Linked DNA regions of Notamacropus eugenii. The protein of the gene in region 1 interacts with the protein of each later gene in a pairwise test. Links are inferred from orthologs where the notes say so. Each region holds a gene or a part of one and is shown on either strand. Other genes may lie near its edges.

What was found.
Region 2: the proteins of NUPR1 (region 1) and KNSTRN interact in a two-hybrid assay, tested with the Homo sapiens proteins (2 studies listed by BioGRID and IntAct). The link is inferred for Notamacropus eugenii from reciprocal best matches to the Homo sapiens genes NUPR1 and KNSTRN.

The regions. Positions count from the first base shown.
Region 1 is NC_092872.1:46,708,828-46,718,037, reverse strand, and holds NUPR1 (nuclear protein 1), read left to right. Parts: upstream 1-6,012; 5' UTR 6,013-6,110; coding exon 6,111-6,222; intron 6,223-7,014; coding exon 7,015-7,151; 3' UTR 7,152-7,166; intron 7,167-7,382; 3' UTR 7,383-7,678; downstream 7,679-9,210. UniProt on the Homo sapiens protein: Transcription regulator that converts stress signals into a program of gene expression that empowers cells with resistance to the stress induced by a change in their microenvironment.
Region 2 is NC_092878.1:26,427,361-26,436,918, forward strand, and holds the start of KNSTRN (small kinetochore-associated protein), read left to right. Parts: upstream 1-5,929; 5' UTR 5,930-5,989; coding exon 5,990-6,048; intron 6,049-6,421; coding exon 6,422-6,489; intron 6,490-9,100; coding exon 9,101-9,221; intron 9,222-9,558. UniProt on the Homo sapiens protein: Essential component of the mitotic spindle required for faithful chromosome segregation and progression into anaphase.

The DNA.
Region 1 (9,210 bases):
TTAAATACATTTTCACCGTAGTCATGTTGAATAATTAAAATGAATAGGAGAAACCATAAAACAAAACATAATACAAAAGAAAATGGTCTACTTCATTCTGCGATCCAGTTCCATAGTTCTTTCTCTGAATGTGAAAGGCGTTTTGCCTCAAAAATCCATTGGGAATTTTTTAGGTCCTTGCATTGCTATGAAGAACTAAATCTACAAGAAAAATTCCCCACACACTGTGGTTGTTGCTGTGCACAAAGTTCTCCTGGTTCTGCTCCTTTCACTCAGCATCATTTCGTATAAGTCCTTCCAGGCCTCTCTGAAGTCTTCCTGTTCATCATTTCTTATAGTACAATAGTATTCCATTACATTTCTATATCACAATTTGTTCAACCATTCCCCAATTGATGGGCATCCCCTCAATTTCCAGTTCTTGGCCACCACAAAGAGAGCTGCTATAAACATCTTTGTACATGAGACCCTTTCCCATTTTTATGATCTCTTTGGGATCTCGTATCTTCTTTAGGGCAAAATTTGTGCTGCAACACTTTAAGTGACAAGGAGCTCATTACCTCAATAGGGAGTGAGTGGGATAGGTTTAGTGAAGACTTCTCAGATTGTAATTCTTCTCCCAGGAGTGAGGTAAGACCTAGAGGCTCAAGGTTACAATATTTTTAGAATAGAATAGTTCCATATAAGGATATAAAACTGTGTAGTATATTAGGGTCTCAATGACTGGATAAAACTTATGTAATTCCTCGATGTCTTCATTTCAAAAGGGATTGGTTAGATTTCGTGTCTAGAATGTAAGATCATATTCTCAGCTAATGAGGATGATGGTCAGTGGGGGGAGGAGGGACTTGCATTAGGGTCTATATAAATCACTGCCCTTTTCTTTGTCTTCAGCTTTCCTACTCCTACAGGTTAGCCCCGCTTCTCGAGAATCGAATAAATCACTTTTCTGTCATCACTTTGAGAGTCCTCTGAGTAATTGATTTATGTAGGGACCTGAGCCATTCCACACAGTTGCCTATTTTATTGTTGGACAATTGTAACTGTTAGCAGTTAAAACTTCCTCTCTGTAACTTACATTCATTGTACAAGTTTTATTCTCTGGAGCCAAGGAGAATGTCTAATCCCACTTCCATATAACTCTTCAAATATTTGAAGACTCAACCAAACAAAATCTTGTATTGGACACAACACAATTTAAAAGGCATTGTTATTCATCATCATCACCATTATCATCATAATAATAAACAGCTAGCATTTATATACTTTAAGGTTTGCAAAGCAGTTTACAAATACCTCATTTTATTCTTACAAGCACCATTGGAGGTAGGTGTTTTTGTTATCCCTATTTTATTGATGAGGAACTTAAAGTAGACTAAGAAGTGACTTTCCCAGGGTCACACACCTAGTGTCTGAGTCAAGATTTAAACTCAGGTCTTCCTGACATTAAGTGAAATCCTCTAAGAAGAGAAGATTGTAAAAATGGTAAAAATCACAGCATTAATGTCAGAAAAGGTGCAAGAAGATATTAGGAGTTAGTTCATAGTTCTGCTTTTCACCTATGTCAGGTGTTTATGAAAATGATCTTTACACTTAGTAATGGGTGTTCTTCACGAAAATACCAAAATGGAACAAATAGAATTTCAAAGATGATTCTCTGCAGCAGACCACATCTTCATGTTGAAGTGCAGGGCATGGGTCTCAATGTTGTCTCAAAAGAATTCAGACTCAGACTGTCTCCAAATCAAGTAAGGGCATCGATTTGGAGTGATGCACCCAGTGGACTCTAATTCAGTGAGACAGCAGCAGCAGTCAGGAGAAGCTAGGGATTTTAATACAGGAAATGTGCCACGAGGGCAAGGAGATGAGGTAATCAGGAATATGCAGGCAAAGGGTGAAAGCTCAGAGTTCTGTGAATATCCTGTTCAGATAAGTCTTCATTTCATTGGCCAGCCCATTTGTCCAGGGCAGATCTCATTATTAATCTCATCATTCAGAGTTACAACACTGCTTGAGAGGTAGAATGAATTCAAGATCATTCTTGCCTTTCAAGCCTTCTTATACCTGGCTCACCACTACATACTCCGTGTTCCAGTAACGCTGGTCTTCTTGCTATTTCATGGACAAGATCTTTTAATCTCTGGGTCTGGGCATCTTCTCTGACTGTCCCTCATACCTGAAATGTCCTTCTTCATCTGCTTACTGCCTTCCCTGGCTTCCTTGTTAATACTATATGGTTGCAAATCATGAAATATGATGATCTACAAAAAAGCAAAGTTGTCCTCTATTCCTAGAAACACCAAAGAGCATGATGGTATTACAGGAGAAGGGGGGTGGCCCTCAGGATCTTGGAGCTAGAGGCCAAGGCAGTTTCTAGAAGGGCTTCAGCAGAATGAGATGAAGTTAAGATCGGGATGCCTCATATCTGTGGGCAAGGCTGGGCTAAGGCCAAAGCTTCAGGGCTTGGGGAGCAAAGGCCAAAAACAAGGTCCCCACACTGGACCAACCAGTCAAGGACATGAAAATCAAGACCTTAGAGGACATTTGTCTCTTCTCCTTTCCCATCAAGAAGTCTTGAATCCTGGGGGTCTTCTCTGAAGGATGAAGTCTGAAGATCATATCTGTAGACAAGTTGGCTTGGGTATCAAATGTCCCAAGGAAGTTCCTGTATCTGTGTCATCATCCTAGACACAGTGACCATTCAGCTTGCAAGATGTGGCCACTGAGGAAGCAAGATTAGCAAAGACACACACACACACACACACACACACGTATACACACTAGTGCCCCACAGTTTTGTCACTGACCATACTGAATCAGTCCTGATGAACCTGATTCCTACCTAAGGGAAGTCTCAGTTCCTGTGCCTAAAAAAACCCTTGGTGAAGGTCAGAATTGATGGTTGTTCTATTTTTTTTAACGGCTGTATTGCTACTCTGGACCCCTTTGCTAAAGCTACCTTTGATGCCATCTCTAAAACCCTCAGCTGTCTAATTTCTGGTTCATGGAAGGAGACTGTGTTTACTAAGTTTCCCTATAAGGAATTCATTCACCATCTTGTAAGGACAGATATCAGAGAAACCAGGCAATTGCCTGGCTACCTCATAAATGTCTTTGTAATAGCAAAAAATCAAATAAACTATGCCAATTTTTTAAACTTCAGAATTATAGATGATCCAAAGAAAAATGGAAGGATAAAGCAGAAGTATAAGTAGGCTGCAATATTAACTACAATTTGCTTTCAATAAGTGGCAAAGAAGTCATTTATAACATGTAAAACTGTAAAAGTAGGTAGTTCAGGCACATATAGAGAAAGGGAAATAACACTTGGAAGCCTTGAGTATTACGCTGGTGTCCTTAATATTTTAAAAGACCCAGAGGCTGTGTGACCTTGGGTAAGTCACATAACCTCCCTCCCTGAGCCTCAGTTTCTTCATCTATAAAAAGAAGATGGTGATAGTTATACCTAAATGACTCAGAGAAAGGACTCTGTTACACTGGGCAGGTCTTTTGTGGAGAATTTATGGAAAGACACAGGTAATATTTACACACAATACGGAAGCCTGGGTGTGTTCTTTATAAATGGAGGGAGTACAGGTACAAATGGGTTCTCAGATTCATTGCTCTAGAACTTCTTTCCAATTTCTTTAAATGTTCTACATTTGACATGGATGGTGAGTGTGCCCTCTCCCTCTCTAATAGAAGCAGGCCTGCTACATCTCCTCTGAGGATTCTAGGGTAACCTGAGGAATTGAGTATCCTTTTTTTTTTTCTTAACATCAGCTGAAGCACCCACCAACTGTGTTACTAATGTGGATTACTTAAGGGCCAGTGACTAGAGCCCTTCATTCATTTAACTTCTTAATATCAGGTAGCTTTTACAAAGGATATTTATTTCAGACATAGAAAGAACAAATTTTTAAACATTTTCCCCAGTCCCTCCACAGAACACTCTTCCCTACACTACCTTGGTCTTTAGGAGAATAGATTCAAAACTTAACTCAGTTCCTAGACAGCATTGCTCTTGCCAAGTTCACAGCCAAATGCAGCATCAATTCTGATGAAGTCCGGTTACAGATTTTGACATGGATCTAAAAGCTTCTTTGGGGCATCAGTACTGGACTGGTGGCAACACCCAGCCTGGAACTCAGGTTCTGGAATGCCAAGATGATAGGATGTCTTCATGATGACCTTTTAAACTTACTAGGTTGTAAGATTTCATTCCCTTCAACTAGAACAGACAAAGAACAAATGAAAAGTCCAAGGACCCAAACCCATTTCTATCAGAGGAGCACTGGGGGGCATATGGGAAAAGGTTCTAAGACCATTACTTATATAGAATGCTCTCTTGCCAGACACTGGTGTAGTAGCTTCCCAAGGTACTAATGAAACAAAAGCTGACTCAAGTCTTTTTAAAGTTCTGACAGCTCTAGCTATGTGGCTCTTTGAAAAAGGGCCCTTCCAACCATGTGGTCAACCAACCAGAACCAGTACTTTTGTCTACACACGCTCCATAGTCTCTTCCCCAAAGAACATCATCACAATTTTCCCAGAAGTCATTTCTCCAGTGTCCTCCATGTAGAGAGGTTACATCACCAAGCAAGCTAATGGGGTCTACATGTGCACCAAACTATCATCATGCATAGTTCAAAAGTTCCTTGTTATCCTGGTCTCCTTCCTCTGGACCCAACCCGTGGGTGTTCAGAAGGCAATTGTTCACAGAATATTACCCTGTGGGATTGTGAGGATGAAAAAGACTGGATACAAATCTTTCCCTGACTGCATCTGACCATCCCATGCTTGGCTGCCAAGTGTCAATGGGTCATTCTAACCTGTCCTCATGTAGTTGCATGCCATTCACTGCCACCACCACTACTACCCATTGAAAAAAGAAACGATCACCTCTCTGTCAGGAATTGGGTAGCACACTTCATCACTGGTCCTCTGGAATCATCTCTACCGCACTTTTACTTGTGTTTTTACCATTGCTTGAAAATCCTCCACTCCTCCCGGATCTCCATTTACCAGACTATTTCATTCTTAAAACCACACTTCCAGTCCTATCTCAGTGCTTCCTCTAACTGCTTTCCCTCATATTTCCCATCTAGAATACTGTGTTTGTACTCTTATAAACCCAATCACATTCTGCTTTATAGTTATTCCCCCAAAGACTTGGAAACTGCCTGTTGTTTTTGGTTTTTTTAACTCACATTTCTATACTACTGTGAGGTTTGTAAGGCACTTTCCTCAGAGTAACCTTTTAAGACAGGTAACCTTTTTTTACAGATGAGGGAACTGAGGATAAGGAATTTGCCTAAGATCACAGCTAGCAAGTAGTAGAGTTGGGATATTCTGCTCTTTTCTTTAAAGGCTGGGGTGGTGATATCTAACATATCTTTGGATCTCTTTCTGCTTCGAGGACTTGCAGATGATATTGCTCAAAAGATATTTGTTAAATGAATGCCTGACATGGACCCCCTCACGTTTTTGACAGACCTTTATCTGTATTTGGTTTGTCAAAGCCTCAAAGGAAGGATCAAGGGGATTTTTATCTCTTTTTTTCCTTCCCACCCCTCTAGGCCACCAATCCATAGTAAGTTTGTTGGATGAAGAAAGACCTGGGTACTGAACTCTTCCCAGTCCTAGGAGGTTGTTTGTCCCTAGATTCTCCTCCTCTCCTCCTTTCCCCTTATTTTTTCTTCTCATTTTCTCCTTTCTTGTGCTCTTCTACTCCCAAAGACCCCAGAACCCTGAAATAAGAGTTACCCTGTGTGAAAATATCCAAATGGGAGGGAACCTGAGGAGAACAGAAAGGAGAAAAAGGAACAACTGCTGGGGAGGTGGGGGGTGGTGTGGGGAGTCATGAGACAGAAGACTTTTCCTGTTGTGATTTCATTTCTGTTTTTACTGGATACTGGAGTACTGGAATGGGGCCAGATTGCATCAGACTAGGCCAACGTGGATTATGTGAGGGGAGGAAACCCAGCCTTATAAATTTGGGGAGGAGCTGTCTCAAGGAGAAGCAAAGCCCTGAGACAGAGAGAAACAGAAATTCACAAACAAGAAATCAGATAGACTAGTCCCTGAAGGGACAGAATTCTCCAGTCCTAATGGCCACAGCTCCATTAGCTGCTCCACCACTCCATCGCCTGACCTTAGACGATGAGGAGTCCGAGTGCTTGGACCAATATGACATATACAGCTTTACAGATTCTTATTTGGGTGAGAGATGTGACCCCACCTTCCTTACCTAGATGCCCACTCATTCTAGCTTCCTCTCTAGTACCCCTAGTTTCAGTCCTCTCCCTATCCAGACTCAGCTCTGTATCTCTAGAACATTTTTTCCTAATATTTTCCTGATATTTTCAGACTGCCTGTGGATTTCAATCTAACCATCTCTACCCATCTGATACCTATCTCCACCCTCTATCCACTTAATTTCAATCCTAAATACTAGCCAGTCCCACAAACAACCCTATAGAATCCTTTGCCACGTGTCCTTATCTCAGCCCTCTCAGCATCTTTATTTCCCATCATGGCTCAGCTCATTGTTTTAGAGACCTTCCTTATCCCTCCAGTTTTTAGATCTCCTACCCTCTTCAAATTATCTTATATTCATTTATCCATGTACATGTTGTTCCCCATTAGAACATAAGTTCTTTAAAGGCAAGGATATTTTGTTTTTTCCTTTGGATCTCCAGTACTGAGTGCAGTACCTTGCACGTAGAAGATGTTTGCTGAATTGAATTATACTTATCTGAGAAACTGTCTAATCCAAACTCTGAGTTTTATAGAGGGGGCTGAGAAGAATGAAATGGTTTGCCCAAATTTACACAGCAAGTTAAGGAGACATCCAAAAATAGGACTCAGGTCTCCTGCTTCCAGTCCAGTATTCTTCCCCCTCACATCTCTAACTCTCTTTTTGTTGGTCTCTGCAACCATGGGTACCAAGTGGCTTCCACCCACTATGTTCTCTGAGCAGCTCATTCTTAGGACTATTGCTTTCTATTTCAGGAAGAGGGAGTGGGAAGGGTCGTACCAAAAGAGAAGCTGCTAACCATACCAACCGACCCAGCCCAGGTGGCCATGAGCGGAAGCTGCTGACCAAGCTTCAGAACACAGAACAAAAGAAACGTGGCACTAGACCCTGAGCCTAGAATCCTGAGGTAAGGGAGCCCAGAACCCCCATTCAGATCTCTCCCAACCGAATATATGGGCTGACACACTAGGAAAAAAATGGTATCCAACTCTAAGTTTCAGAGCCAGCTGGGAGATATGACCCCTAAAGTCTAGGAAAAAACCCTAGAGTCCTAGAAGGTCCCCTAAAGTTGGGAAACTTAGACTCACTGGTCTCAACCTCTAAAGATCTCTTTTTCTTCCAGGCTGGGCCTGAGTACTGATACCAAGATCACGGCTATGGACATACGACATTGAAGACAGGGCAAGAGAGATTGAATCTTAATCTTCCCTGACAGCCTTATCTCAAGAAATGTGCCCTCCGAAGCCTAGCTGGAGTTTGGAAGGGTCTAGCAAGTGAGTTCCTTTAGCACTTGCAGAAGGGATGAGGAGGAGCAGATGGTAGGAATGGATGAACTGGGAGGAACAGGAGGAAAGGGAGAATCTACCTGAAGAAACTGTCTATCAAAGGACAGAGGTTACAATAAAGAATCAATCAGAAGGTTGTGTGTGTGTGTGTGTGTGTGTGGTTGATTTCAAGTCTCCAATGTTTACGAAAACACCCTCTCTCCTCTTCTCCTCCTTCTCCCTAGTGCCCTCCAAAATGATAAGAGGGCCACAAAAACATCTCTTCCTACTCATTTCAGGCTTATAAGATCAAGCCCTTTCAGCTGTTATTTCCATCAAATGCTGGAAACTCTGTAAGGCTGGTGTCAGAAAAGAACTTACAACCTTGACCTTTGTGATTCTGATTTTGCTGTATGGCTATAGACAGTGAACCTGGGGAAAAGATTCCAGGAATTCTTAGCACATTAAGAAAATTGATACCTTCTTTAAACTAACAGTCTATAAGCAAAGAATTTAGAACAGTGAAGAGAAAGTATATGAGGAGAAGGATATGAGAGTGGCAATGGGATATTGGGGACAAAGAATCAGCCCTTAGAGTCAGGAAGACCTGGGTTCAAGTTCTCTTCTCCTCCCATCCACCCACACTAACTGACCCCAGGCAGGTCCCTTTATCTCCCTGTGCTCCAAGAATCTCCCTGAGACTTTAAGTTTCAGAGCAGATACCAACCTGCATTGATAGGAGGAGTTTTCTTGCTGAGAGTTCGCTATACCAATGAAATTAGGTCCAGTCCAAAAGATGAAATATTTTGTTCTGGTTTTTAAAGAAAGAAGTTATATCTGAGGAGTCAACTTGGAGTATTTAAAGAAACATATTCTGCATCTAGGGTAATGATAGAAGAGATAAAACACTCTGGAATGATTGTGAGAACAATCAATCAACTTTTATTAAGCACCTATTACGTGCTGGACACTGTACGAAATACTGGGGATACAAAAAAAGACAAAAGACCATCATTTCCTACAAGTAACTTACAATCTAATGGGGAGACAACATGCAAATACGTAGAAAGCTTAAGTACAAAGTCAACTGAAAGTCATGTCATCATCTTGAACACAACATACAAAGCAAGCTTTGTAATAGGAAATACTTAACAGAAGGAAAGCACTCGAATTAAGTGGGGTGGGGTGAGATTCTGCCACCTAATAAATGGGCTGTACTATAACCAAGCAATCCTACTTCCTCCAAGTCATGTTTGATGGTCAGGACCCTCTCTGCTTTGGTGGCTGTAAAAAAGCCAATCACAGGCAGCACACCTGAAGACTGCTGCTGTGAATGATTTCAAGGGTCTAATGTGTAATAGTGATGTCCTTAAGTAAAACATGTCATTCAATCAATATTAAGTATCCAAGTAAAGTCCTTTTTCAAAATATCCCATTATCCACCACTAGGTCACTGTAAAAACAGTCTTCTCAATCGGTATCAGGTGTCCAGGTGAAATCCTCTTTCATCTTAATACAAGGTTGGCTTCCAAGTCCCATGGCTCTTTGTCAGTGGCCTGACCACTCCTGACTCTCCCTGCATTCACACACAGGCAGATCTCTGCTCCTGCTCCATGTCTCAGCTCATGAGGACTGCTCTACTCTGCAGCTTCTGTCTCCAGGAAAACCAAGCTCAACAGGGCAACA
Region 2 (9,558 bases), on another chromosome or scaffold:
TCTCCTATATTTGGAGGATTCTTCCTGGAACACAACCAGGATATGAATAATGAAGCCATTTCTTCTCTCTTTAAGTATGACAAGTGTTAGAGGCAGCTAACATCAGATGTTACACTCAGCCCAGGTTTGATAGTTGGAACAAAGTGAGGCACTCAAAAGTCAACTGACAAAAGGAAGTTTACTTTGCCCTAGCATAGCAAGGATATGCAAAAAGGACACAGTGACTTAGATAATCTAGAGGCAGCCCTCTCATCTCCACATGGAAACTAGCCATCAGAGTAGGATGTGGTAAAGGATATGGGAACCTGAGGGCTCTTCAGAAATCCAGTAAGGATCAGGGGCTCTGACTGCCAGGGTCTATGACATTGTATGCCTTTAGGTGGCCAAGAAGCTTTTTAGGAGACTCTAGGGCCATCTGGACCCCAGGAAAAGCTTTGTAAAGCTTTGTGAACCTAAACTCTTAAGGATTAGGGAAGAAGGAAAGGAAAGGTCTGGCTCTCCTCATGTTGGCAAGAAGGAGGAAGCAGAGCTTCTCCACCATCCCAAACTCCTCCAAATGGATCTAAAAACTACAACAAATACAGATGGGAAAATCCAGAAAAAGTCATAGTGAGTCATTTGTCCAGCCCAGATCAGCATATAGAAAGACAGAAAATTCTGCAGACATGGTGGTGGGATCGGGTCAGGAGTATAATGCATATGGGAGCTCAGGAAGAGGCTCTGCCTTTGGACAAGAGGAGGAACTGTATGAAGGATGCAGAAACAGGTGTCAACTGGCAGTGCCCAACACCCCATGTTAGGCCACAGATCCAAGGCAGACTAAAAGAGAATCTGCACCCAGAAATGATGTTCTCAGATGTGGTGTGCCAATGGTAAACAGGTGATGTGCCAAGAAAGGAGCAAATTCAGAATCAAGTGGAAGCTTGTTCATTGGAGCAGAAAGGCATCTCATTTCTAGCATCTAGCTTAGTCTGAAGCCTCTAGAACAGCCAGGGCAGGAATCTCAGGCCAAAGGTGAGCAAAGGACGCAGTTCAATCATTGAACTGGCAAAGCTTTCCTGCTAGCTGATAAGAGTTGTGTCCAATAACTCTCTATTGTTGCTCAAGCCAAATTCAGATCAGGAACTTTCATAGATCAGATCAGGATGGCAACAATCAAACTTTGCCCTAGATCAGACCATTTGTGGAATGCTGAAAAACTTGCAGATCTCCAGCCTGTCCTTGAGTTCCTAGTATAACACAACTTTAAAACTTACAAAAATAAATAAGATGAGACACTTGAGTAAACAATTGGAAAGGAAATGAGAGCTATGGAAGAAAAAATTAGTAAAGAAACCAATAGCTTGTCACAAGAGGGACAAAACCTTGTTGAAGCAACAAACTCGCTGAAAATTAGAAAGTGCTAAATAGAAGCCAGTGACTCCATGAGGCAACAAGAAATATCAAAACAAAGTCAAAAGATGAGAGAATAGAAGAAAATGTAAGATATCTCATAGCAAAAAGCAACAAACATGGAAAATAGATCAAGGAGAAAAAAATAAATTAAGAATCATTGGACTATCTGTATGCCATGACCAGGACAAAAGCTTGGACATAACATTTCAAGAAACCTTAAAAGAAAACTACCCAGATTCCTTAAAACAGGGGTGGGGAACCTGTGGCCTCATGGTCACATGTGGCCTTGAGGTCACTGGTTACCCATTCCTGCCTTAGAATCAGAAAGCAAAGTGGAAATTGAAAGAATCTACTAGTCACCTCCTGAAAGAAACTCCAAAATGAAAGCTTTGGAACATTATGGTCAAAATCCAAAACTTCCAGATGAAAGAATAACCAAGAAACAAAGAAAAAAAGAACAAAACACTACAAGCAGTCAAAAAAGAAAGAATTCAAGTACCAAGGAGTCAGAGTCAGACTCCTATATGATTTAGTGGCTACCACTATAAATGAATGGATAACTTGGAACACAATACTCCAGAAAGCAAAGGATATATAACTTATACAGCAAATTGAATATAATGCTACAGGGGGATGGATGGGAGGGGATGGGGGTGGAACGGACCTTTAATGAAGTAGAAGACTTCAAAGCATTCCTGATGAAAAGTCCAGATCTTGGTAGCAATTTTGAAGTTCAAACACAAGAATTAAGAGAAAGCTAAAAAGGCAAGGAAATAAACAATGCTAAGGGACTGCACAAGGTAAACTGCTTGCTTCCTAATATGGGGAGATAATACGTGTCCCTTATGAGATCTGTCAGGGGTCAGAGAGTGAATCTTATTAGACAGAAGACGTGGAAGTGGTTCTGTTACGTCTTGATGATCTTAAAAGAAGTATGTAAAGAGACGGGAAGAGGAATACACTTGGGGCAATGTAAGGGAAAGAGGAAAGAAGGTTAGGGGAAATTATCTCACCTAATCAGGGCACACAAGTAGACATCTATACAAACAAGGAGGTGGGGATAGGGGATGGATGATGCTTCAATCTCATTTTCCTATCACACTCAGAGTTGGGTACAGAAATGCATTTCACACAATAGGAGGAAAAAAAGAGGAGGGGTGAATTGGAGGGAGGATAGATTAAGGGAGGAATTAGTACTAACAAACTAGTACAAACAAACTAAGGTTGTACAAAGTATTTGTAGCTCTTTTTAAGGTGATAAAAATGGGAATCTGAGGGGTGCTCATAAATTGAGGAGTGGCTAAATATGTTCTGGTATGTAAACGTGATGAACTATTGTGGTGTGCAAGAAGTAATGAAGATAATGGTTTCAGAGACACCTGGGGAGATTTGCATGAACTGAAGCAGAATGAAGTGAACACAATCGGGAGAGTGATTAATTAATATAATGGTTGCTGTCCTTTGTCTTCGCAGAGGACCAAAATGACATCACCATATTACAGTGAAATTCAGTGTGTCTGACTGTGGCTGATGAGACCAATAAGATCTCAGAATACTGTACCACAGGTTGGGCACAGATTGTCCATGTGAATATTTGGGGTGGATACTCCAAATTTGCGCATCCTGCGTTTACTTTGTGCTGTCTCAATTCTGCTTTGCTCAAAGAGCACAGCACCCTTTCGGATGTGGGCACACCATGCTGAGCGGGTCCTGTGCCAGTGTCTCCCATGTTGCACAGTCAAATCCAGAGTTCTTGAGAGAGACCTTGAGAGTATCCTTGTATTGCTTCTTCTTCCCACCATGTGGAACACCTGCCCCACGCGAGTTCTCCATAAAATAAGTCTTTTTGGCAAGCATACATTTCACATTCGAACAACATGGCCAGCCCATTGGAGTTGCGTTCTCTGGAGCATGGTTTGGCAGTTCAGCTCGAGCAAGGACTTCAGTATCTGGTACCTTATCCTACCAGGTGATCCTCAGAATCTTCCTAAGACAGTTCAAATGGAAGTGATTCAGTTTCCTGGCATGGCGCTGGTAGACTGTCCATGTTTCACAAGCATATAACAATGAGGGCAACACAACAGCTCTGTAGACCTTCAATTTGGTAGTCAGTTTAATGCCTCTTCTCTCCCAAACTTTTCTTCGGAGCCTCCCAAACGCTGAGCCAGCTCTGGCAATGTGTGCATCACGTGTGTTCAGGGAGGACCGGTACCTTTGGTGTGATGGCTGCCAAGTCCTTTTCAGGGCTCTTTCCACCTTTGGTGTCCACCTGTTCCACCCAACTCTCACCTGTGGCTCCAAGAAGCTGCAGCATGCTCAGCGGCCACACCCGGGTAAACCATTGAGGCAGACTGGCCAAACCAGGTTGAGGGTAACCAAGGGTTCTCACACCCACAGGTGAGTTAGGGAGGTGTGTACCTCAAGTATGTGAAGACTTTCTCTGGTGGAATGGGCGGATGAGAACAATTTGTTCCAATGGCCATGAATTAATGCAATGACAACAATATGAAAGAATTAGCAGCTTGGATCAGCAGGATGACTAAACACTATTGCAGAGAACTAATGATGAAATGCTACCTCTTTCCTGATGACAGACTCAGTGAAAAAGAAACTTTTTTTTTGGAACAAAGTCCATGTAAAAATTTGTTTTGCTTGATACACTTGTTTATAACTAGGATCTTATTTTTCTTTGGCTCTTAATTTGGGGGGTGCACAGATTAGATGAGGGGAGGTAAGAAGATAGATTTTTGCTAAATAAAAAAATGCAAATATAGGAGGACTATGGGCGTGCAACAGTGCACATATTGTCAGACGCAGTCAATGTAGTTTAATCCACTGAGCTGCTTTAAACCCCTCTGTTTTTTCTTTATTATTAATGAATACAACACAAACTAGGGAAGAGGAGGGAAACACTCATATTCAGAAATAAAAGTGGTGTAAAAACAAAAGATGGCAATACAAATTAAACAATTTTTTAAAATCTAAAAAAGCTGCTATTAATTCAATAATACCTTCAAATTAATTTGTATTTTAATAATCACAATAGCAAATATTTAAAGAATAGTAACACTTACGTAAAGAGGTAACTTGTAGCATAGTGGATAGAGTGCCAGGCTTGGAGTCAGGAAGACCTGAGTTTAAATCCAGCTTCAGACACTTACTAGCTGTGTAACCCTGGGCAAAGTCATTTAACCCTCTTTGTGTCAATTCCTTCTCTGTAAAATGAACTGGAGAAGGAAATGGCAAACTCCAGTATCTTTGCCAAGAAAATCCCAAAAACGGGTCACAAAGAGTTGGACACAACTGAAAACAACTAAACTACAATAACACATATATAAGATATTATTTATATAGCATGATTGTTGTTTATAAATAATTTTCATAAATATGTTCTCATTCTTTATAAATAATTCACATTATTTAATGAGATAACTGGTATGCATATGGATTCTGGACTATCTTTCAATCTGACTGTTCACCTCCTTAATTTTCCACCCTCTCCCAGTCTTAAGAAATTGGATTTTATGCCAAAATTCAAGAAGAATTCTGGCAACCAAGCAATGTAATTAATGATGAATGATTAACAACGACAACACAAAATCCTAGATATAAAGCTGGAAGCCTTTCCATTGTACCACTTTTATATAGTGGTACATATATATGTATATATACACATACATATATACGCACATATATATGTATACACACACACATATATATACATATATATATACTGGCATATATTCATATAGTATATAAGAACTATTAGCATAACTCTTAACCTCTTTTGGGGTCATGGACCCCTTTGGCAGTCCAATGAAGCCAATGGACCCTGTCTCAGCATGATGCTTTAAAATAATTGTAGGAGAAGCTTAATTTCAGTTAGAGGTTAGTAAAAATAAAGGTGTATTTTTTCCCCCATTCAAGTTCATGAACCTCATCAAACCTATATCCCTGGACCCCTCTGGGGGGTCTGTGGAGCCCAGGTGAAGAACCTTTGCTTTAAGGTCACAAAGGTATTCCATATATTAATTCATCTGATGCTGAGTTGTCTGGGATCCCTGATGAAGGCTTGGGCAAGCCCAGGTAGATCTTCCAATTCTTGATTAAACAAGATCCTTTATTAAACCCACTGTGCAGTGGATAGGACGCTGGGTTTGGGAGCCAGGAAGTCTTGCTTCGAAATGCTACCCTTGGCACTCACTAGCTAGTCTTGTATCCCTGGGAAAATCAAGACACCTCTCAGTGCCTCAGTTTCTCCGTCTGTAAAATGGGGGACTTGGACTAGAGAGTCTTTGATGTCCCCAGTCAAGGTCACCGTGCCCTCGCCCCAAGGCCTTCTCCAGCGATCGTTCCTTCCAACTCCACATCCTGACGAGCTCACCCCAGCCTTTCCCAAACCTCCCACCACGCTCCAGCCCCGGCCAGCCGTACAACATGGCGGCCCCCTCGCTCTCGTTCCTGTAGGTTTCCTCCGTACAGCATGGCTGCCTCCGGGACTCAGAGCCGGCCCCGCCCCCTTCCACCGGAAGTTTCTGTTTGAAATACCGGCGGCGCCTGGGCTGGCGGTTCCTGTGCCCGAGCGTGAGTGGTGATGGAGAGCGGGTGCAGACCGGGGGTCGGGGACCCGGCTTCGGCCGGGGAGCGTCCGGGGTAAGAGACGGCTTGGAAGGAAGCGGGGACCCGGGGGCTGAGGGGGCGGCGGGCCGGGCCCCGGGGGGGCTGAGGGGGAGGCCTGGGCCCCGGGGGGGCTGAGGGGCGGCGGGCCGGGTCCCGGGGAGGGGGCTGAGGGGGGGCGGGCCGGGCCCCGGGGGTGCTGAGGGGGAGGCCTGGGCCCCGGGGGGGCTGAGGGGCGGTGGGCCGGGCCCCGCGGGGGGCTGGGGGGGCGGCGGGCCGGGCCCCGCGGGGGGCTGGGGGGCTGGGGGGGCGGCGGGCCGGGCCCCGCGGGGGGCTGGGGTGGCGGCGGGTGCCCTCCCGCCCGCAGCCCGCCGGGGCGCCTCTCCCAATGGAGCCCCCTTCCCTCCAGGGTCCAGTCCGGCCGCGCCTCGAGAGCCAGCACCGCCAGGCCTGCGTTGGGCGGAGGGCAGCCCGCGGGTGAGTACCGGGGCCGGGTCGTGGCCTTCCGCCAGCATCCGTAAAGCGCCCACTGTGTGTGCCCTGGGCCCTGGGCATCCCGGGAGGCCCCGAGGTTTGCTAGGGCTAATACCGCGCTGTAACGGGGTGGGGGTGGCGGGGAGCGCAGGTAGATACTAATGATGGCTAATGTTTATGTAACACTTAACGGATGCCAGGTGCAGTGCCAAGCCCTTTACCTTTATCGCAACGACCCTATTGGCATCCCCATTTCACAGATGAGGTTGAGTGACTTGCCCAAGGTCTCCCAGCTAGTTCACTAACTAGAGGAATTAGGAAAAGCCTTTTCAAGGAGCTGGCACTTGGGCGCCTTCATTACTGATTCCCTCGGGGATCTTGTTAGCTCTGACAGATCCAGTTATCATGCCTACGGAACATGTCCCTCAGATCTACTGTCTAGCCCCAGGTCCGCCCTCACCTCACTGACTGTCTGTCTGCGTGTGTTCTTCATTTTGGAAGAGAATGATGACGTCCCTTGCACTTGACTTTGTTTTGAGTGAGGGAGGGCTGTGCAGGTCCCCAGCCTCACTTCTCCTCCAGAGCCATCTGGATCCGGTGACCAGATAGTCTTCAGGATGACTGGAGATGACCCAGGATCCAACTGGTTGTTCTGTGAACATCTTAAACTCAACATCTCCAAAACTGAACTCATTATCTTTTCTATCAGACCTTCCCTTCTTTCTAACTTGGCTGTTACTGTGTAGAGGATACTATCAGGAGTCTAGTCACCAAGGCTCACCACCTGCCTATCATCCCCTCCTCCTCTTACCTTACCCCTCCACCCCCATGTCCAATCCGTTGCCATTACCTGTTGTTTTTACCCTCTTAACATCTATTGCATATGTACCCCCCTCTTCTCTGATGCTGCCACTAGCCTGGTGCCACTTATACCTGAATTTTTGCCATAGCATACTGCCACAAGTTTCTCCCCATTCTAATCCATCCATCACTAAGCTGGCAGAGTGTTTTTCCTAAACATAGGAAACATAACCATGTCACTGATTTCTTATTGAACTCCAGCAATTGCTTGTCACTTCTGGGATCAAATATGAAATCCTCTTTGGCATGCAAAACTCTTCATAGCCTGTTCTCCTCTCCCTCCTCCTCCAGAAGCACAAAAGCATGTGTCTGGAGAGCAAGGGTGGTTTTTCTTTTTGTCTTCATAGTTCTAGCCCTTAGCACATTGCTTTACAGAGTGCTAGTGTGGATACACTGAGAACCTACTGACTTGGACTTTTAAAAGACATATATTAAAGGTGCAAGAGAAAGTAGGTGTCAGAGGATAAATCCAGAAGAGTGGTGACTCCCTACCTGTACAAATACAGACTAACATGGCTGATACAGAGTTGAAGTTGAAGTTAAGTAAGGCATTTGTTTGTAAGAAAGCATCTGGCTGCCCTCAAGTCCCCAGACTTGGACTACCACAACAGTCAGTACATGAAAAAATTGGTAGAAGTGATTGCTAAACTGATGTAAATAATCTTTGAAGAATTTTAGAGAATGGGAGAGGTGCCATAGAATTGGAGGTAACAATTGTCCTCATTTTGAATGAGGGAAAGAAGAGCCTTCCAGTTACAGGCTAGGGAACTTGAAAAGAGTAGAAACTGGATGCTGGGAGACTAATTAGGAGGCTGTTGTTAGAGTGCAGGTAAAAGATGGTGTAAGCTTGAATTAGGGTAGTGATCCTGTGAATAATAGGTTCAAATCCCACCTCTAACATCCAGACTTGTATGAACTGATGCAAAGCGAAATGAGCAGGACCAGGAGAATAACCTGTCCAGTTACGGTAATATTGTGAAGGTAATCAGCTTTAAAAGACTTGGTAATTTTGATGAACGCAACAAGTCATCACAATTCCAAAGATTCATCACAGAATGCTGTCCAGAAAGATAACCAGTTGACCCAGAGTGCAGATTTGAAGCATATTTCATCCTTCTTTCTTTTCCTGGCTTTTTTTGAAACAAGCTTGATGTGGAAATTAGTTTTGCATAACTGAATTTGTAATGGGTTTTGTTTTCTTCTCAGTGGATTGGGGAGGGGGGAGTAGGGAGAGAGAAGGAAATTTGGAACTGAAATAAAAGCGTAAAAAAGTCTCCGTTTTAAAAAGTAATCTTGTAAAAAAAAAAGTTGTTAATAAAAATTTATTTTTTAAAAAGAAATGAAATAAAGTAGCTAAGACCCATTAAATAGTTCCAGCAAATTATGAAATATAGCTATGGTGTGTTTAGGGAGTTTAAGCCTGTATTCTCCACCTTCCTATCTTCATTCTTTTTTTAAATCTTATTCCTTTCGCTTATATTAGCCACCATGTTACGTTTATACCCTTTTTATCTCTTCCAGCCTTAGAGATCCTCAGATGAGTACTCAAAGAGTCCATGTATTATTTTGGGTAGTGTTACTTAGATATGGCCTTTTTATCCCAAGGAGATTAAAATTCAGTGATTCAAAGCTGCTCTTCCTAGAATGAAGTTGACTCAATTAGGACATGGCAATTTGGATTAAAACACTGACCATGATATTAGAATTGGGTTACGTTGGTTGGGTTTTCACCCTCTTAATTTTCCTTTCACAGAAACACATTCTCGGGCTGCTTCTAAGAGTCAGATACCCCAGAGGTGCAAAGAAGTAGAACTCCACAAGGCCCTCAGCTCAACAGGTCTAGAGAATGAATTGTACAAAACTACCAAACAGAGGTCAGAACATAGAAATAGACGGTTGCACTTAAATGGATAATTTTGTCAGAAGTGACTTCAAATGACCTGACCCTGAAAAGGAGGTTTTGAGTAGAACATGAGAAATGTATTAATGTACACTGTTGTTGAGCAGCGCACAGTTCCTTTGTCAGTCTCCCAACCCCCTTAGAGATCTGTTCTGGAAAAGACAAATTGAAGTCACTAACAGAAGGTGTTTTGAAGCTGTCCTTTCCTCTCTCATCACAACCTTTTACATGTCCTTACCAAAAAGTAGATACAAGTGGAACTGGAAACAGAACAATTAGTAAGCCACATTTATTTGAATTGAGCCCTAACT